Rhinolophus ferrumequinum: one gene and its partner. The protein of the gene in region 2 interacts with the protein of the main gene of each other region in a biochemical or structural test. Links are inferred from orthologs where the notes say so. Each region holds a gene or a part of one and is shown on either strand. Other genes may lie near its edges.

The links.
Region 1: the proteins of PRMT5 (region 2) and COPRS form a complex in vitro, tested with the Homo sapiens proteins (3 studies listed by BioGRID, with this or other methods). The link is inferred for Rhinolophus ferrumequinum from reciprocal best matches to the Homo sapiens genes PRMT5 and COPRS.

What each region holds. Positions count from the first base shown.
Region 1 is NC_046304.1:20,361,738-20,372,615, forward strand, and holds the start of COPRS (coordinator of PRMT5 and differentiation stimulator), read right to left. Parts: upstream 5,999-10,878; 5' UTR 5,877-5,998; coding exon 5,778-5,876; intron 3,418-5,777; coding exon 3,351-3,417; intron 623-3,350; coding exon 404-622; intron 1-403. Other genes in the region: UTP6 (U3 small nucleolar RNA-associated protein 6 homolog), read right to left, coding at 9,269-9,426, 10,192-10,264. UniProt on the Homo sapiens protein: Histone-binding protein required for histone H4 methyltransferase activity of PRMT5.
Region 2 is NC_046289.1:73,503,394-73,514,271, reverse strand, and holds the start of PRMT5 (protein arginine N-methyltransferase 5), read left to right. Parts: upstream 1-5,744; 5' UTR 5,745-5,889; coding exon 5,890-5,999; intron 6,000-6,656; coding exon 6,657-6,775; intron 6,776-7,083; coding exon 7,084-7,169; intron 7,170-7,345; coding exon 7,346-7,480; intron 7,481-7,823; coding exon 7,824-7,936; intron 7,937-8,091; coding exon 8,092-8,141; intron 8,142-8,343; coding exon 8,344-8,507; intron 8,508-8,957; coding exon 8,958-9,119; intron 9,120-9,280; coding exon 9,281-9,358; intron 9,359-9,454; coding exon 9,455-9,513; intron 9,514-9,597; coding exon 9,598-9,720; intron 9,721-9,803; coding exon 9,804-9,979; intron 9,980-10,523; coding exon 10,524-10,633; intron 10,634-10,875; coding exon 10,876-10,878. UniProt on the Homo sapiens protein: Arginine methyltransferase that can both catalyze the formation of omega-N monomethylarginine (MMA) and symmetrical dimethylarginine (sDMA), with a preference for the formation of MMA.

The DNA of each region.
Region 1 (10,878 bases), on a different chromosome or scaffold from region 2:
GGACACTGAGTCCTCCTTTCCTGAAGAATTGCAAGCATGTTTTCCGAGGCAACCCATATCTGTGCTGCTCAGCCAAACGTTCTCAGTGCAAAGGAAGCAGCTGGATAACAGAGCACTTCTGTCTGCAGCTTCTCAATTTACACAGAGATATTTGGAGAGAGTAACACTATGCCAGTGTTAAAACTGATACATTACGGAGTCAAATGCAAAATTTCCATGTTTTTTTTTTCTTTTTTCTTTTTTCTCAATCTGAAAGAGAAGCTGTCACAGACATCACAGATCTCTAACAGGTATCAGGCGAGACTCACAGCTGTGGGTCCCTCTTCCAAAGTGTCTGCCTTTAGGGGTAATCTGGGAGGAGAGTCTCGAACCTTGGCCTGGGACCCAGAAATTCCATACCTACCATACGGATTCCCTTGATCTGTTTTCAATTCCAAGTCCCAATCCTCATGAAAGAGATCATCAGCCTGTTCCTTGGGCGGACAGCCGGACACCCCTTCTGACAGCTCCCAGGCATTGGGTTCCCCCTCAGAATCGCCATCCACAGCAAAGCCGCCTTCTTCAGGACGGGTGCCCTCACCATCAGCAGGACTATCATTAGGGACGCTCCGCGCTTCACTGGCTAAGAAATCGACAGAAGGAAGAAGGTCTTAAAACAACCGACAAACCAGAGAGGGCCTACTTGTGTGCTTGGAAAATGTTGGGCAGACTTCCTAAGAGGCCAGCAGTAACACAAGTGTACCAGACTTCTTTAGCTACCTGAGCACTTCAAAAAATAAAGTTTCATTGACACTTTTAGAAGTAGGGTTGATCGATTATTTGCAATAAGACGTTTTGCCTTGAAAAAGACCATTAATTACCCCGTCATGTAATTCACACAGGGAGCCAGGCACAGTTTACATTTTCAGGTCATTTATATGTCATTGAGGCAAATGAGAAACTTTCATAATACAGGTGAATTGAATTTTTGCTCTTCTGTTCCTCCTTTCATCCTCAAAGAGCATGTTACAGGTGAGCACAGGACAAGGGGGGGAGTGGGAGAAAAACAGGGAGAAGATCAGAACCCATCTAGTCAGATTGGATAGCCACCATGGCTGCTCCTCCTGAAATCTGGAAGGGCTGGAAGGTACATTTTCAAAAGGGTCTCAAAATAACGGAAGACAAGTGTGGGAAGGACAATGGACCTCCAAGCATATACGTATATCATGCAGGGACTCTGGTCCCGCTCCCCACACAAGAATGCAGGATATGGTGAGGCCAAAAAGGCATACCAACAGAGCCATAGATAGGGGAGTCATACCACTATATTCTCGCTGGCGGCCGGGTGAGACACAGGAAGCAGGAGCCACACAATCCACCATCCGCACTTGCTAACCCCACTTGCTATCCACAATCCGCAGTCTGCTTCTCTGCCAACCAACCAACCCCACTTGCTGGCATAGCCATAGCAGTTATATTTGTGGCTAATGGCTAACCGGTAACAGCTGATGGCCATCTACTACCCGAGCCAGCACCTTTCCACAAGAGGTCGAAAGCCTGGAAACTGCTCTCTGGGATTCTGTCCCCACAAAGTGCTACGGTGATGCCAGGTCAGAGTTGGGAAATGAATCAGCCTAAAAACAGCCATGCTCTTAACACGGTTTGATGACAGCTATAAGCAATAAAGAAATAGTTCAGGGCAGGGGCTCTGGAGCCAAACTGCCTGAGTCCAAATCCCACTTCTGCCAATTACTACATGTGTGACGGAGCTGAAATGTACTTGACCGATTCCTCAATAGCTTGAACACAGAATTACCCCACAACCCACTCCTAAATGTATACCCAAAAGAATTGGAAACAGGTGTTCAAACAAAACTTGTACAAAAATGTTCACAGCAGCACTATTCACAATCACCAAAAGATGAAAACCACCCAAATGCCGATGAACCGATGAATGGGTAATAAGCAAAATGTGATATATACATGACAGAATTATTCAGCCATAAAAAAGGAATGAAGTATAGGCATGCTTCGTTTTATTGCACTTCACAGATGTTGTGGGGTTTTCTTTTGCAAACTGAAGGCAAGACCCTCCATCAGCAAAAAGGTTATGACTTGCTTTATTGGGATACTTGCTTTATTATGGTGGCCTGGAACCGAACCCACAATATCTGCAGGGTATGCCTGCATTGATACATGCTACATGAACGAACCTTGAAAATATACTGAGTGAAAGAAGCCAGACACAGAAGGCCACATGGCGTATGATTCCATTTATATGCAACTCACATTTGCCTGTCCAGCATAGGTAAACCCATAGAGACAGAAAGCAGAGTAGTGGTCACCAGGGCCACAAGGAAGTGGGGAATGGAGTGTGACTACTTACAGGGCACAAGGGTTCCTTTTGGGGTGATGAAAATGTTCTGGAACTAAATAAAAGTGGTGGTGGTTATACAGCACAATTGTAACTGTGCTAAATGCCACTGAACTGTATGCTTTAAAATCATTAAGTGGCAAATTGTATGTGTCTTTTACCACAAATTTTTTTGAAATTTACTCAGTGCCTTAGTTTCCACATCTGTAAAATGGAGGCAGTATTGTTGAGTTTGTTTGTTTTTTTTAAAAAAAAAAAAAAAGGAAAATAAACACTTAGAATTGTGCCTGGCACAGAGTGAGTACTCAGTAAGTGTTAGTTGTCATGACTATACTTACGTGCTTGGTGCTTTCTCTAGGCCAGTACTACCCAACAGAACTTTCTATCATCTCTGCTGTCTGGCAGGCTAGCATTAGCCATGTGTAACTGCCGAGCATTTGACGTATGGCTACTGCAACAGGATCTGAATTGTTTCATTTCATTTTATTGTAATTAACTTAAATTTAAATAGCACCAGTAGCTAGTGGCAATTACAGTTCTACATCTTCTCACCAAATCCTCAGAACAAAATCCTCTCACCAAATCCTCTCACCAAATCCTTCTCACCAATTACCTCTGAGAGGTAATATGATTATCCCCATTTTAAAGAAAGGATTAAGTGATTCATCTAAGACCACAAGATTCGAGCCCAGGACTTTGACGTGGAGCTGACAGTGAAAACAATTTTGCCTGGCTCCAAAGCTTATATTCTTCCCGCTGTCCTAAGCTGTCTTTCTCCATAGACAGGACGGGTTTGGACCTAAGGTCAGGACTTCCCTTAGGGATGCTCCAGTAGGGCTTCCAAACAAGGGCACTGTTGAAACCCTAGGCAGAAAAGGCAATGCGGCAGCGAAGAGGAGGACTCGCTAGAAGAGAAGGTGACAAGACACATAGGAACTGTCCCTGTCGCTCCCTCAGTCTCTTCCGGCATCCACCCCAGTCTCTGCCATCTACTTGCCTAGTCCATCTGGGGCCTTCTCAATCTCGCTGTCCTGACCGGAGTGGTCGTCTGGGGCAAAGCGAACCTGCGGGAAGAAAAAACAATTACCCAGGACTTGGATGTCTGGGGTAGTCCAGTATTAAGCTCTAGGTTCTCAGACGCAACCCCACCCTTCCATACTCCCCCTATTTGAGTGGGGCTGGGACCCTGCAACCCGTATTTGTGCTTTGTCCTATGAAGTCAGCGAAGCTAGCGGGAGAAGGGCCTTGGCTCCCTCCTGTTCCTGCAGGCATTACCCCAGCGACACTTCACCCTGGCAGCTGGCGCGTCTTCCCATAGCGGCTGCTGAACCCAGCTTACAGTTTGCCAAAGCTTGCAGGGCCAGCCTCATCATCCAGCCCTCTCTTCAGAGGTCTGACGCCCAGGCTCTCAGGACCCCTCCTCCAGGCTCAGAGCTTGGACAGCGCCCTCTCCTCAGAGAGTGGAATTTCAGCTCCCCAAAGCCGCTCCTCTAAGCATGTAAATTTGAACCATTCCAACCTCATCCCTTGGTTCCTTAGGGTTGGTAGCTGTTTCTTGCCCGTTCCTACTCCATGTTCACTTTTTAACTTGTCAGTTACTTAACAACTTCTTAGCTAGCTAACAGCTCTTTCTGTCCAATTCTGTCTCCTGGCTGATACACTGGGAGGAACAGAGGTTTAGTTCCTCTGCGACGATGAGGGAAATCTTCTTCCCCCACAGCGAACCATATGCTTCCCTGCTCTCATCACTCAAAAGTTCCTGAAATCCTATCACCTGTAAGACCTCTTCCTAAACGGAACAAGGAATGTCCACAGCCTGCATGAAAAGACCTGATTTCAATTCCAGCTCTGCCATTCATTCAGGGTGTGACCTTGAACTTCAACCACTGTGTCTGGGTTTCCCTCTCTGGAAATTGAGAATGACTGTTTTGACCTTGCAGGGGGCTTATGATGAGATAACATTTATGAAAACATTAGCACCATTGAATTTAAATCCACCTTCTTTGTTGCTACATCTATACTGCACTTGGCACCGGCCCCAGTTAGCTTATGGTTTAGTCATACCTGGATTTTTTTTTCTAACTTTTATTTATGTAAGGGTGTTTTTCCAGGACCCATCAGCTCCAAGTCAAGTAGTTGTTTCAATCTAGTTGTGGAGGGTGCAGCTCACAGTGGCCCAGGTGGGGATCGAACCAGCAACCTTGTTGTTAAGAGCATCGCACTCTAACCGACTGAGCTAACAGGCTGCCCCCAAGTCATACCTGCATTTAAAGTGTCGATTCCACCTCCTGTAGTCAGTGACAAGCGCTGGTCACTACTGCAGGACCTCTCACTTTGACCACTGCCTGAGACCTCTAACTGTCTCCCCACTCTCCCACCCTGCCCAGCCTTCCAGTGTTAATCACTGCTCGCCTCAAAAACCTTCAGCTCCACTGCAGGAGTACAGAATTAGCCATGGCATTCACACATCCCCCTCACAAGCCATCATCAACCTGTTGAGCATCTTTCTCTCTCCAAGCTCTGAGGCCCAAGTCCCCAAGCATTTGCCATGCACTCCCACATCTCCGGGCCTCTGCAAGCACCACCACCCTCTCACCTTGGAGAGGTAGTGCACATACTTTTCTGCTATGCCCTGACAAAACGAGGCTCATCCTATCTGCACGCCAAAGTAACTTTCTTTGTAAGTCTATCACTCCATTTTTTCCTTCTTACTTTGGTTAGGTAGTATCTTTGGTGCTTCAACAAGCACGCCATTCCTCCAGCCAAAAAGCATGTCTACCGTGCCAGGCACTACGCTAGGTGCCCTGTCAACAGCAGTGAACAGAAGGTTCCTACCCTCGACGAGCTCACCATCTAACAGATTACTGACTGAAAATAAGGGCAGGTGGTGACTGTAACAATGGTCTTTAAAAAACCAGGAGCCTTCTGGAGCGCAAATGAAAACAAGTTTCTGGAAAACCTGCGTCAAACCCGGCCTTTGGGTTTCATTAACTAGAAAAGGAGCGCGCATGAGACATCATCGGGTGCTCAGGGTCAGCTGAACATCCTCACCAGTAGACACAGGTCCTTCAGGGAAAGTCGCTCTCCTCGCGCGCCCTCCCCTGGCCCCTGTCCAGGCCCCCAGCTCTCGGTCATCAGCATCACCTCCCATTTGGCAAGTACGCAGAGGCGACCCCGGGGACCCGCAGCCTTCCTTCCCCGGCCGGCGCGTCCACCCACGCCTTCGAGGTGCCCCGCCCCGCATCCCCACACCCCGCGGCCCCTCGGCCCAGCGGTTTCCAGCTAGAGCACGCGCCCAAACGGCGCTCTGCGTTCACGGGGCGGCCCCAAGCGGGCCCGAGGCGCTTCCCCGGCTCCGCGGCGCCTGCAGCTTCCCGACCCGGCCGCAGGTGGTGGCTGCGCCGGGCCCCAGCGCGGCGCTCACCCCTGAGCTGGGGAACGCCTTCCGCGCGTACGGCAACGGCGGACCCCGAGGCAACTCCGCGGTCCCCAACGCCTGGGCCCCGGCGGTCTGAGGGTCCATGCCCGGCCGCTGCTCGGTGCCCTGGACGCTGATCGGCCACGTGACGCGCCCGCCTGGCTGCCAGCCCGAGGATACGCCACAGAGGGGCCAATCAGCCGGGGGGGTGCTCCTGCACGAGGGGGGGGCGGGACTAGGGGGGTCACGAGGAAGCCGGGGGCGGGGCGCCGCAAGAGGGGCGGGGCGCGCCCGACAGCGAAAGCCCACCTACTGGTCCAAAATCTGATTTTTGTAGCACCAGCTAGTGCAGGCAAGGCGGGACTAGCTTGGTCTGGAATGTCAAGTGTTATCCCTTCGCAGCTTAAAAACCTCCAATTCCTGTTACCCGAGTCTACATGATAGTGTATAAAGCTCAGCTCTCAAAACTTTTAGTGCAATTGTAGCTCACCAACCACATTTCACTCTTGATCTCACAAACTTCCCTAGAACTCAGGCTGGAATTGGACTATAACTCACCCACAGATGAATGAGACAACTCAGTAGCCCAGTGATTCTCCCCCTTAAGTTAACGATAGTTCTTAGTGAATCCATTAGAAACCAGGACATAGGAACAAAATTTCTACAATGTGCTGGACACTGTATGTTATGGCAGTCATTAATAACCCTAGGCGTTCCGAGTCTCGCGGTGGTCCGACCTGAAAAAAGCTCCTTTGTGGAGGTGGCAGAAGACAGGCAGAGACTGCCTTCACTGCCTTTCCCCACACTTCCTGAACGTGCTCACCTTCACATTTAAGTAGCAGAAAAGCTGGAGGAAGCTGGGAGTCCTTTGCTCACCAGGCCACCTTATGACAATCTATGGGAGATTAGAGAGCCTACCTAGTCCTTCATCTCCTTCCAAGAATGTATATTTTGTAAACTGCATAACGCATTTGAAAAATTTTAGTGTAACAATACATGTGTTTTCTTTTTCACAACGTATAGACTTTCCTACAGAGAAGAGAATGTGATCAATTGATGTGTGCTGTTCTGACCCATGAGTCAGTTTCACCAAATCTAATTGGACCTATCTAGGTCAACAATGTCCAACAGAATCTTCTGTGATGGCGGGAATAAAAGTTCTATTTTTCTGTGCTGTCCAATATGGTAAACATGTGGCCAGTATAAATGAAAAATCAAGCTAATTTTAGTAAGTTTAAATGGCCATACATAACTAGAAACTACCATACTAACAGTACAGCTCTAGGTGAACTAGCTAGATGCCTTTTCATAACCTGCAACAGTGAGAACCAGATACAGATGGGACCCAGGGGACCCACCTTCATAGCCTTGCTATAAGAAGCCAACCACCATCCTTCCCTCTCCTCTTGTATGCAACATGTATCTCTTTCCTAAAATAAAAATGCCATGTAAGGGTTTAGCATGTTAAACTTCCTGGGACTTAAAGGAGAGGGAAAAGAGGAAATTATTTTTATTTTAAATCAAATAATGGGATGGATGGTTTGTTCAGTGGTTAGAGCACAGTGCTCATAACACCAAGGTTGCCGGTTCAATTCCTACATGGGATGGTGGGCTGCGCCCTCTGCAACTAAGATTGAAAACGATGACTGGACTTGGAGCTGATGGGCCCTGGAGAAACACACTATTCCCCAATATTCCCACCCCCCAAAAAAAAAACTCTTATAAATTAGTAAGAAACAAGTTTTAAAAAAATCAAAACATGAAAAGAGAACCAGGAAAACCACATTAATTTCATTAATGCCAAAGAAATACACATTAAAACAATGATGTATCACTTTTAACCTATTAAAATGGCATAAATAAAAAATATAATATCCGGGGCAGCCGGATGGCTGTTGGTTAGAGCATGAGCTCTCACCAAGGTTGCCGGTTGGATTCCCACATGGGCCAGTGGGCTGCGCACCCCCCACAACTAGATTGAAAAACAGCAACTAGACTTGGAGTTGAGTTGCGCCCTCCACAACTAGACTGAAGGACAATGACTTGACTTGGAGCTGATGGGTCCTGGGAAAAAAACACTGTTCCCCAATACTCCCCAATAAAAATTTAAAAAAAAATGTGTGTGTGTGTGTGTGTGTGTGTGTGTAAAGTATCCACCGCAGGTAAAGGTGTTGACATTTTCATACATTTCTTGAAAGTCTTTTTATACATTACAAATTGGCAATATATATATTCTTTTAAAAAGTTATATCCTTTAATCCAACAATTTTGTCAGATGTCAGTCTCCTACAGAAATAACCAGGGATGTGAACAAAGATTTACAAAAATCATTAACAGCATTTATAGTAAGAAAAAATTAGAAATAACAAGGTCCAACCAATAACAAGGTCCAACCACAGAATGTTATGAATTTTACAGGGAATGTTCTAAATTCATTAAATGTGTTTAAGGCTTTAATGACATGGAAAAATAACATAATATTAGGTTGGTGCAAAAGTAACTGTAGTTTAAAAAGTTGGAAAATTGCAAAAACCGCAATTACTTTTGCACCAACCTAATATTAAGCGAAACATCAATAAACTGTACTGAATGCTTCTCCCAGTGACATTATAACATTATGTTAAAGGATATAAAATTCAAATAACTGCCTCCCCTACTCCCAGAATGCCCTTCTGTGCTTCAAGCCATCCTCCATCATGGGCTCTGAAGCCTTTCTCTAATATGCTCCCTATCCCTGCCCTTCTTTTGTTGGCAGTCCTGCCCACTATAAACACTACTTTGCAGATCAGTCCCAGAGATAGAAGATACCTGTATAACATCTTGATCTTCTTAAAGAACTTTTTCCCCAATACCCAGCATCCTTCTCTGCTCCTTCAACCAGCTTTAGAGACATTCAGCTCTGTTCCTCTAACCCCTACCTCCATCCAAAAAAGCTTCCCTTCCTTCCTGCTTATGATGGGCACTCAATGAATGAATGAGTAAATGTTCTAACAGGATAAATCCAATTCTGATAAAGGAAATCAAATTACTGAGTTTAACTCCAGATGATATTACAGGATGCTTTTATTTTCTTCTCCTTATTCTACTCCCACCATATTTTCTACAACAAATGCATACCATGCATACTTTTATAATAAGGGAAGAATAAACTAACAGAACTGTACTTTCTCCTCCATTTTAACTGGCCCCTAGGTCTAGAAATATTCATCCTTAACCCGGGGATAATAAAAGAAACTTCAGTTGTATGATTTCCACATTATTTTGAACAACATTCAGGATCTATAGTAGATCCAGCCCCAACAAGTAGCCTCTGGCCACTGAACAGCAATTCTCTTCTGGAATTAAAAAATAATGCATTAACAAAATTAAAGCATGTCTCAAAATCAGAGAGCCTTCTTGTCTGCCATCTCTAAGCAAATTGTAGATGAACTCCTAACACCAATCTACCCAGAAGGCTTACAACACTATTTCACAAAGTTGGCTTGTTCTTCCTCTTTTCACAAATGGCCGGCTTGATGCATAGCATGTTTAGCTACAAACACCTCTGCTGACTCTCCCTGCAACATTTTCATGGCTCGCCAGTAGATTTGTCCGCAGTTCTCAGGTCTACCAAGAGGGTGGTTCAATTCTTCTTTTATATAATCCATCCAAAGATCTTTAAAGGGAACAAAAAAATTACTGTGGACATATAATATATAACTGACAAGGCTTTATTAAGTAAGATTAATTATTTAATATCGATTTAACACAAGATTTCTAAGGAACTTATTTCCACAGAAAACTGTGAAACAATACCGCTCTCAGCTTCCTTACACTGGAGTATATCAAAATGAGTTCACCGTAACCTTGTTACCATGCTTAACAAAATTTGCTTGGGTTAGTAAAAATGCCATTTTCATTCATTTCATCAGATCTGTTTTTTAAATGAGTTTAACAAATACATGTCAGTTTTTGAGTGCCTAAGTAAACAGATTTTACATGACATACCTACGCCCAGAAGTATGTTTTACAAGGCCTATAAATGTGGACAATGTGACAATAGCCAATGACAACTAATGTCAATTAACGTCCCACTATCCTTTGCTGTAATTCCCACTCCTCTTTGTTCTGACCTACATTATTAACCTTTCCCTGACAAATACCATATTTTTTAGAGAACCAAATCAAGCAAATCTTTCTCTAACCCAGCGTTCTTAATAGAAGACCCATGGACTCTTGAGCTTATGAACTTGAAATTATAAGCAAAATTACATCTGCAAGTATTTATTTATGCACAAAGTAAGGGAAGAGGTAGGAGGATACAAATTTTATTCTCAAAAAGGGCCATGACCCAGTAAAGAAACGCTGTTCTAACCGTACTGAAAAGTTCCAGACCACACATGCAAACAGACTTATATGTCTATAACTGAAGTTTACTTACCAGAATCTGTAGATCCAAACTCTCTCAAAGCCCTCTCATAATATTCTCTTAAGTTTGCCATCTTGCAGGATTCCTAACAAAAATAATCAGACAATCTTAAGCCTAATTTATAATGTCATAAATTCATTTCAACCACACTGTTAACAGCTATCATCTATTAGGTATTTTAAGGAGAGGAGGGTTGTGGCTTAAGATGAACACAGCCTGGCTTTCAACTTACCCAGAGAGAAGTCATATGCATTTACTTCCAGAGTGAAGTAAGTGTCAAACAGTGATAAAAAGCACTTTGCTACAGTAGCATGGAAAAAGCCTAATAAATTCTTGGAGGAACATGGGCAGCTTCACGGGAAAGTATGTTTGAAAGCTCTGAGGGTGAAGTAGGATTGAAATAAATAAATGCGGAAGATTCTACTCCCTATGGCTAGAGATTTCTTCCTTTTGAGTTATCTGGGCTCTGGCACATATTAGCTATGTCCACCTTAGAACATTTTGTATCAAGGCAAAGTTTATAAATACTAGTTATACGACCTTCAGCAAATTTTTTAAACCCTCTGACCTTCTAAGTGTCCTTACTCATAACACAAGGATGACATCTCAGAGTAACTACAAGGATTAAATTAAAATGCTGATTAATTATGCACCTAGGCAATAACAGCTGGTATTAACTTTACAATCAATGAATGTTCA
Region 2 (10,878 bases):
GGATTAAGTGAGATAATACATTTAAAGTGCCTGGCAGGTGGCATAAATATCAGTCCACCTAGGAGGACTATTACATTATTGCTATGAGGTAAGAGTGACTGCTGAAGACTGGACAGCTATAGGAGCTTACAGAGGAGGGGGCCTTCAAAAGAAAAGGATTTAAACAAGCAGAAAGACCAGGCAGAGATCTGAGATTTTCCACACATTAAAAAAATTTTTCCCACATAATATAAACATGATCATAGAAAATTTGGAAAATACAATTTTTTCCCATATTTTGAGGTCATTCTGCATGTACAATTTGTGATCAGCATCATTTAATGGCATATCATGAGCATTTGTCCATGTTATTAAATTTTCTCTGACAACATTGATTTTAATGGCTGCCTAAGATTTCATTGCATGGATGATTTATTTAATCATATGCCTTTGGAATATCCAACTTGTTTCACATTTTTTGTAATTAAAAATGCCACACTAAGCATTTCTCTTAATCTTTGTCATAGTTTGTGAAGATTGTCTAGGATAGTTTTCTAGAAGGAAAATTATAGAGATAACGTCTTAAGGTTAAGATCAAAGGCTCTGGAGTCAGTTGACCTAAGTTTGTTGATCCCATCTAAATTCCTTCTTAGGATGGCAAGTCACTTAGCAACTTTACCCACAGATGAATAACACTTCCTACCTCAGAGGGTTCTTACGAAGATTCAGGGTTCTTGTGAATGTAAAGTGCTTTTCATAGAACCTGACACAAAATAAGGGCTTAATAAATGTTAGTTGTTATTATCACAAATTAAATTCATGTATTTAATCCCACACATAATACACATGCAACTGGTCTGTTTCTGGGCTATTGGTTTAGCTCTTATTCTGTCTATTCTTGTGTCAATTGCACATTGTAGCGCTTTACTTATTAAATATAGTTTATTTCATAAAGGATTTCAGGTAAAGGACTAAAAATACAGAGCAAATTTCCTCTCTTCTCTTTTTAAAATTTTTCTTTGCTTTTCTTGTCTGCTTTTTATTGCAAATTAATGGTAGAATCATTGTATCAAATAACAAAAGATTCCATTAAAATTGTGACTGAATTGTAAAAGTGAGAAATTAATTGGGTAAGAACCGATATAAGAGTCCTTTTTTTCCCTAAGAACATGGCTTGTTTCTCCATTTTTTAATTACACCTCTCAGCAAAATTTTGTACTCTACGCAGTTTCCTCACATTTTTCAGTAAGATTACAGCTAAGTTTTTTTTATGATAGCATTATTGTAATCACTGTGAATGGGGAAAATGCTAATCAAAATAGCTAGTGCATATTGAAGGCGTACTATGTGCAGGGTAGATTCTAAATGCTTTACCTACCATATTGACTAATTTAATCCTCTTAACAGCTTTACAAGATTTACATTTCTATTTTGTGGATGAGGAAACAGGACAGAGAGGTTAGGTTCACATAGTTAGCAAATGGATGAACAGAGCGTCTGGCTCCATAAGCCATGATCTTAACTATCATGTTATTAGGATATTTTTATTATGTCTTCCAATTGGTTATTCTTAGTATATAAGAAGGCTACAAATACGTTTTATATTTGTCTTGTATCAAGTGATATCTCTGAATTCTATTAATACTCATTATTTTAGAATTGATTCTCATGAATTTTCTATGTATACAATCATATCTGCAAACAATGACAAATTTGCCTTTCTCTTTCCAAAAGTTGTAACCCATTCCTTTTTAATTTCCAGTCTTATTGTATTGGATTTTTCAGAACAGTATTAAATAGCACAGTGATGAGATTAGACAGTCTTGTTTTATTTTATCTTTACATAAATTGTTGACTTCATATATATACATATATGTATTTATACATGAAGAATATTAAGACTATTAAGAATGTTTATAGAAAATGAAATTAACTTATGTTCTCTTTGGTGGCTCTTAAAAATGATCAAATGTTTTTCTTGTTTGGATTATTTTTGATCTATTATATAAATAAATTTTCTAATACCTAACCTTGTGTAAATTCCTGAGATAAGCCCTAATTTGTTGTGGTATATAATTATTATGCCAATGCACTCTTGAGTTTTATGTGTTAATCTGAAATATTGTAGTATTTTACATTTATATTCATAAGTGAGATTGGTCTATAAGGTTATTTTTCTGTGTGTGAGTGAGGGATGCTATTTCTGACAGGTTTTGATATTAGGTGTATTCTGGCTTCATAAACAAACTGGGTAGTTTTCCATCTTTTTCTGTATTCCAAAACAGTTTTTACTTTCTATCCATTTTGACAGATAAATACTGTATAATAGAGATGACAAAGAAGAGAATGCAAATCACACAGATTATTTTGCCTCAGTAACTCTGCCACTTTTGCGGCTGGAGGACAGCCTTGATTGTGAAGCAGCAATTTGAACCAGTAGGAGGGTCAAGCGGGCCATTACTTTGGTGTTGAAGAGTGCGACTGGCTGGGCAGGCACAGAGGTGAGTGAAGGTGGTCCCCGGGAGGGAGGCCAGTGCTGAGGGAGGAGGGCAGCACAAGGGAAGATGAAAGGAGGGTTTACAATGGGCTGGAAGCACCTAGAAACAGCATCAGTTAGAAGAACTGGGCCTGAAGGTGAGGAATGCTGGCAGGCCCATTGGAGGAGGATCTGGGGAGTGAGTACCCCTTCCTTTCCAGGAAAGTTTCCAATGCTCTGGCCTGTTGGTCACTGGCTCCTATTGGAGTAAGTAACATTCTTTCTTACGCAGGGTATTTACCCTTTTGTCCTACCATCTCTCTCTCTTCGTCCCAGCCGAGGCCTACATCTAGTGATTCACATGCTTCTGAGCACAAGAGTTCAGCATGGAGGGCAAAGCAGACGGAAGCAGAGCATAGATAGACTTCACTAGCTTTGACTTTATGCCTGGGAAGAGTCCTTTACAAGATTCTCTATTTCTTTTTCAGTCCTTTCCTTCTGCTTCTCTTATAGCTCATATAGGCAGACCTATAGTACATGCTGTTTTTTTAAGGCAAAGGGAAGTGCTGTATGAAAGGCGGGGAGCAATGTGGAATGGAATTACTGGGAACTATTCAGCATTATGCTTGCCATACAGCTGAGGCCATTTTAAATGAAAAATCAAAGACATCACAGACAAATGAAATCCAGCCCATCTAAACTTACTTTAAGGTCAGTCAGAAATTCTAGGCTCTTTTTACACAAATTCTTTTGAAAATTATTTTATGATGAAAGTTATTTTAACTGATGGCAAAACTGACATTACTGTTTTATAGATTTTCCTCTCTCCCTCTCACCCATGGATGGATTAGTTAACAACCAACGGAGCAGCCACCAGCTTGACATCAGGAGGAAGATGCCAGAAGCACAGATGGTCCACAACCCAGATAATTAGAAACAACATCTACTAAGTCTTCTGTGAACGCAGAGTTTGGTTGGGCACAGCTGGGGCAGAGAACAAGCAAGCCTCCTCAACAACTCTTTTTTTTTTACCTCTTAAAATGTCAGAGGAACACTCACTCACTCCAGGTGGACAACCACCTACTCACAAGACCTTCAGAGAAGAATCCAAATAAATATTGCAGATACTCCACCCTAAAGGAAGGGGAGCATAACTCCCCCCTCCTTAAATGTGGGAAACACATGGTATAACAACTTCCTTCCAAAGAGTACGTGATGGAAGTAGGGGAGAGGAGAGTGTAATTCTACTACTGCTTCTATCAGGTGATAAAAGTCAATATCAACAGTCATAAATTATGTCGATAATATGTATGGCACTTTGCCTCTCTGATCTTCCTCCCCCAAACCCATAATCTCAGCCTATCATGAGAAAACCATCAGACAGATTCCAATAGAGGGGCATCCTACAGTATATCTGACCAGACTTCTCAAACTCCTCAAAAACTACTCTCAAGGTCATCAAAAACAAGGAACATCTGAGAAACTGTCACAGCACAGAGGAGCCTAAGGAGATAGGACAACTATATGTAATAAGGTATCCTCTATGGATGGGATCTTGGAACAAAAAGAGGACATTAGGTAAAAAGTAAGGAAATTTGAATAAACCATGGACTTTAATTAATGTTTTCAATACTGGTCCATGAATTGTAATAAATATACCATACCAATGTTAAGATGTTAATAAAAGAGAAAGCTGAGGCGAGGCATATGGGATCTTGCTGTACTATCTGCTCAATTTTTCTGTAAATTTAAAACAAGTCTAAGAAATAAAGTCTAATAATAATACTAATACCTGCAGGAGTCAAATGAAGACTAAGATGGGACAAAAGCACCTCCAACCCCTTTAAGCTTCGCAGACCTTTTAATTCTTTGGCTTTTGGACTCTTACCCTTTTGGGGCATTTACATTGCACCCAAGACTCCTTAGAGTTTATCCTACACACACCCTTCCGTACTTCCCAGGACCTTCTCCCCCACAGGCCAGGGTGATCTCATTCAGTCTAGGGACTTTAGTCACTACCTCTCTTCTGGCGATTTCTAAATCTTGTCTGGTTCAGGTCACTGTTCATCTAACTCTCTATTACGCAGCGCCCCCTAGGCGTCCAATTCAGCATTTCCAGACCCAAACCCGGATTGTCCTAAATCGGCTTCTCTCGTTGCTTGTCTAACCCACACAGAGATCAGAACCTTGGGCATCACCGTGACTTCTCTTCCTCACGGCTCCCTGCCAGTCGGTCCCTAAGTTCTGTCAACGCCTCCTGCTTAGGGCATTTTGTACCGTGTTCTCCTTTCCATCTTCTCTGTCAGACCCTGAACACTTCTGGGCTCTCCTCCCTATGTCTTTCCTTTCTTCATTCCTGTCTTTCTTTTCCATTCCTATAGCAGGTATTAATAAAGGAAAATGTAGAGATCTCCCTCTAGCAGGTACTGACAAAGGAAAATGTATAAATTCTCTGAAGCCTCCGCCTGGCAGTTTATGACTCCTCTACTGTAACTGCTTACCATGAATTCCTTTTCTCTATCTTCGGGTGTGTGTGTGTGTGTTTGTGTGTGTGTGTGCGCGTGTGTGCGTGTGTGTGTGTTTATTTACATGTTGTGTTTGAGATATAGAATCACGAGGAATTAGTAGCTGAGTTGCCACAATGTGTGTGTGTGTTTATTTACATTTTGTGTTTGAGATATAGAATCACGAGGAATTAGTAGCTGAGTTGCCACAATGTATTTACAAATATAACATACTAAGGCCCACACAAAGCCTCTTTTAAGAGCACCAGCCATTAATCCAGTTTTCACAGGGCTCATAGACCTGAGTAGTGACACAAGAACCACCCTCGAATTAGGTAACGGAGAAGCTGACATAAAATGGCTGCAGAACTCAATCAAATTTAGACCTGAAAATAATGGCGTGAGAAGATAATGAGGAAACTTTAAAAAGTGTAATGAGATCTAAAACTTGGTGTTCACGGCCGTATTGCACGAGCTGCAATAATTAACCGTTTGCCTCACACGAGCCAGCCAGGAGTCGAACCTGGAATCTTCTGATCCGTAGTCAGACGCGTTATCCATTGCGCCACTGGCCCTGAGACAATTGAAGACTCCTCGATGATGATACTTCAAGCTTATATGGCAGGGTTTCATGGGACGTGTAGTCCCCTAACGAAATTTTACGAATAACACGAGGTATTATGGGAGATTGAAACTCGTAGAGAACCAGACCCTGGGACTGGTGGATATTCCGGAGCTACGCCGCACGTCACTGTACAGCCCGCGGATTGGCAGGAAGAGCCATTCCCCATCCTTCCTCTCCGCTGAGAAGCCGTGGAAGACGCTCTGGTTGTTAGGGCGACTCGTCCCGCCTTCCGGGGGCTTTTTTCCTGGCTTTATGATTGGCTGCTAGTATCAAGAAATCCCGGCGTGGACAGCGCGAGGGAAAAGATGGCGGCGATGGCGGTCGGAGGTGCTGGTGGGAGCCGCGTGTCCAGCGGCAGGGACCTGAATTGCGTTCCCGAAATAGCTGACACACTGGGGGCTGTGGCCAAGCAGGGGTGAGGGCCTGGGATTCCGGGCGGGATGCGGCTCTGAACTCGACGACGGAGAGGGGCAGACTAGTCATCCCCGAGAGTCAGGGGTGAGGGGGTCGGAGTGGAGAAGATGAGGGCGGGAGAAACCCGTACTCCTTGAGGGAAGAAGCTTCGGGCCCTGGAGCGTCAGAAAAAAACTTACTGGGGGCGTGTGGTCTCTGACCCTAAAAGTCTGGGTTGTCAGGTAAACTCAAAAAGGGGGCGTACAGACCTCCAGGGCCCTGGAGAGCGAGTGTATTGTCTGAGAGTGAGAGGAAGTGTTACGGGGCTAGGGAGCGAAGAGATAAACCTTGAGTGGGGGAGGCATGGGTAGTACTGGGGCAGATCTGGATGTGACAGTCCTGGGAAACCAGTGATAGTAGAGTAGAAAATCTACTTGGTTTGCATTTCATCTTTTCACCTTACTCATGTTTTCCGTGGTTGTGTTTTGGGGAGAAATTGAGGCACAGTGTAGGGGAAGTGATATGCCCCAACATGAGCTGAACTCAGCAGTCCAGTCGGTTGACTGATGATGGCAGCTGAAAGGGTTGTGCAGAATCCAGATAGCCTAATCCAGTTGCTTGGATCTCTGGGCACTGCTGCTCTCTTTACATGACAATTCTGGGTCTGTCGCGGTTGTAGGTTTGATTTCCTCTGCATGCCTGTCTTCCACCCGCGTTTCAAGAGGGAATTCACTCAGGAACCTGCTAAGAATCGACCGGGCCCCCAGACACGATCAGACCTACTGCTGTCAGGAAGGGGTAGGGACCATCCCATATGCCCCTTAATTATTCTTAGAGGCAGTAACAACTTCTTCTTTATCAGTGCCCTCATTCTCCTTTCCTGACTTAGATATATTGATTAGTCCTTAGGATACAGATAACTCTTTTCTCCTTGCTTACCTGCTAAAAGCCTTAGTTTCCTAATCTGCATCAGGCTATTCTGTGTCTATGATAGAAAAAGTGTTTTTCTCTTATCTCTACTTTATTCCCTCTTAAGAACTAGAAATCAAACAAGTAAAGTGCCTAACCTCATTCAGTCTTTGTCTTTCTTGGGTGGGGGAGTGCAGATTGGAATACGCTAATTGTGGGAAAGCTTTCTCCATGGATTCGTCCAGACTCAAAAGTGGAGAAGATCCGCAGGAACTCCGAGGCGGTAAGACTGTTTGACCTCTCCACTGGATCTTTCTAAAGATCAGGTCTGTAACCAAGCTGGGTGGGTAGAACAGGTTTCCCCCCCACCCCTGTAATTCAGTAACTCTGATATAATAATGCAATTAAAGCTATATGGATTGTTAGCTCTTAAACTTTTCCTCTTAATCTCCATTCCAGGCCATGTTACAAGAGCTGAATTTTGGAGCATATTTGGGTCTTCCAGCTTTCTTGCTGCCCCTAAATCAGGAAGATAACACAAACCTGGCCAGAGTTTTGACTAACCACATCCACACTGGCCACCACTCCTCCATGGTACGGCTGAGGGCCTCTTTTCCTACTGCATATTATAGTAGTTAGCCTTCTTGTTCCTAGCCATTCAGTAAAGGGTACATTTGGTAGAAATGTAATGTCAGTACTGCCTACCCCTGTTTAAAAGTAGCGAGCAGGGAGTTATAAAATATAAAGAATATATAATTATTTATACAAATTTATACTTGGAATAGGGGACAAGACATATTTACATAAGAACATACATATAATCATAAATTGGCAAATGCATATAAAGGGGTTAATTTGAGATCTGGATCGAGATATTTTAATTGAAGGAAGCTTTCTGGACCCACTGAGTTTTAATAGAGTACTTGTTCATGTACAGTTCTGGATGCGGGTACCGTTGGTGGCACCAGAGGACCTGAGAGATGATATAATCGAGAATGCACCAACTACACACACAGAGGAGTACAGTGGAGATGAGAAGACGTGGATGTGGTATGTCTCCTTTTGCTGCTGTACGAAGGCAAAGGGTAGGGTGAGGGGAAGTACAAGGTGGAACCTGTAGGGTTGGCCTCCTTGGTAGGGTTGGCTATGGTTATTGGTGAGCCATATGTATTTGACTGTAGTTTTCTGTGTTTGACTCTGGACAGGTGGCACAACTTCCGGACCTTGTGTGACTATAGCAAGAGGATTGCAGTGGGTAAGTCCACAGGGGTCTTAGGATAGGTATTCCTTCTCTGACTTCCTGTGAATAAGAATCAGGAGTTTCATGTAGACTCGGCTGCTGGGCAATTTTGCTGTTTTTCTGTGCTTCGTAAGGAGTAAAGAGATCTTGCGCAAAAGAGCAAGGAAAGGCTTCTTTCCTAACAGTAGTTGACAGGTCTTTCTTTTCCCTTGTGTAGCTCTTGAAATTGGGGCTGACCTCCCATCTAATCATGTCATTGATCGTTGGCTTGGGGAGCCCATCAAAGCAGCCATTCTCCCCACCAGCATTTTCCTGACCAATAAGAAGGGATTTCCTGTTCTTTCTAAGATGCACCAGAGGCTGATCTTCCGGCTCCTGAAGGTGGGTGGTAGAAGGGTTCTAAAAGTGCTCCAACTAATCCTTTTGCCTTATTCCCACATGTATGATGCTTTTTTCCTGTGGGGCTGACTCTTCCTCTCTGGGTTCTGGAGAGCAATTTCAGCAAAGTTGGGAGTCTTGAGAGGAAAAGACAAATGGCAGTAGGAGCCCCAGAAACATTTCAATAGGAACCAAATCTTACGAGAACTTTGCAGAAGGTTCCATTTAAGAAGTTACAGTGAGGATCCATGGGGCCCTTTGAGCCAGGCTGATGCTAATATGCATAGGAGGGCTTGATAAGTTCGTTGCAGCCTCGTGCTGCTTTTATTGGTATCTGGAGAACTGCTGGTCTGGGCCTTATTTTATGTATGCTAGGACTCTGGCTATAAGATACAATAATGTCCCAGAATTTTGGTTCGAGGACTGCGTCTGATGGTCTGGCTTCTCTCACAGTTGGAGGTACAGTTCATCATCACAGGCACCAACCACCATTCAGAGAAGGAGTTCTGCTCCTACCTCCAGTACTTGGAATACTTGAGCCAGAACCGCCCTCCACCCAATGCCTACGAACTCTTTGCCAAGGGCTATGAAGACTATCTGCAGTCCCCTCTCCAGGTGGGTCTGCAGTACACTGAGAGGAGGGAGGTTGGGTCTCTTGCGAGTAGGTATCCTAAAATCCTACCAAAGCTCAGGAGGCAGTGGGAAGGTTTTGGAATTCTGGTGCACTGTTCTTGCCAGAAACTGGCTGACTTACTTTGCCTGTTTCCTCCTATCAGCCACTGATGGACAATCTGGAATCTCAGACGTATGAGGTGTTTGAAAAGGACCCCATCAAATACTCTCAATACCAGCAGGTGCAGTGTGGGTCCCAGATTGGGTCAAGCACAGGGCCGGGATGACCTAGGTGAGGATAGGATTACAGCCATGAGGTCTTCTCTCTTTCCCCCCAGGCCATCTATAAATGTCTGTTAGACCGAGTGCCAGATGAGGAGAAGGACACCAATGTCCAGTGAGTGCCCTCCCCACAATCCCAGAGATTTGTGTGTCTACTTCTCTATATACCAAGTCATCTTGACTCTTCCTTTTTTCTTAGGGTGCTAATGGTGTTGGGAGCAGGCCGGGGTCCCCTGGTGAATGCTTCCCTGCGGGCAGCCAAGCAGGCTGACCGGCGGATAAAGTTGTACGCTGTAGAGAAGAACCCAAATGCTGTGGTGACGTGAGTAGCAAATCCCTTGCTGGGAAGTTTGTTCACAGTACGTTTCTCTTGTCAGGGTCCTCACTTGTGTTACTCTGTTTCAGGTTAGAGAACTGGCAGTTTGAAGAGTGGGGAAGCCAGGTGACAGTAGTCTCATCAGACATGCGGGAATGGGTGGCTCCTGAGAAAGCAGACATCATTGTCAGTGAGCTTCTGGGCTCCTTCGCTGATAATGAACTGTCACCTGAGTGCCTGGATGGAGCCCAGCACTTCCTAAAAGGTGCCTCCAGGCTGGGGTGTACTGCGTAAGGGGAATGGATTATTAGCTGGGAAGGCTGCAAGGGGGTGGGGGGAATTGGGCGGGATGGCAGCCTAGGAGGAGGTTACAAGGTTTAAGGGAAGGTGGGCTGGACTTGTGTCGTGCCCTTAGTAAATGAAGTAATCTCTCCGAACCTCGGTATTCACATTTGTAAAATGAGGGGAGTGGACTAGAGAAGACACTTAACCTGAGGTCTGTGGGCTTTCTGAGCTGCTGTGATACAGACTTTGGGCTTAGCTTTCATGAAGATCTCAAAAGTCTTTGAGACCCCCCCCAAAACTGAGAAGCACTAGATTAGAATACCTTAGGTTCCTTCCAGTTTTAATCTTGTGTAACTCTGTAACCTAACCTGAAAGTAGAATCCCCTGTGACAGGAGTTGGGAGCAGGTTGGCCTGGGAATGTGACAGCACTGAGCTGCCTGGGCGTGAGAGGTTTGAGCCTTCTGTTAGTACAGATACACCGTATCCATCCCTTGGGAACTAATGTGGCGCTCCTGCTCTGCAGAGGACGGCGTGAGCATCCCTGGGGAGTACACCTCCTTTCTGGCTCCTATCTCCTCCTCCAAGCTGTACAATGAGGTCCGAGCCTGTCGGGAAAAGGACCGTGACCCTGAGGTAAAGAGCCACTCCCTTCTGGAGGACTCCTCTCTTTAGTCCTTTCTTTTTCTGTATTAGCTTCAATTATTTTACTTTTCTGCAAAAGATGGAGAAGTGAAGGAGGACTTGGGGGTGTGGAAAAGTGGTTGAAGTAAAAGTTTTTCATCTTTTTCTGTGTCCTTGAGTCTTGAGCTTCTTTCCCTGAGGAAGTAGGTATCTCTTACCTGTCTTCAGCTCTTGCTCTCTGTCTTTCGGGTCAGGCC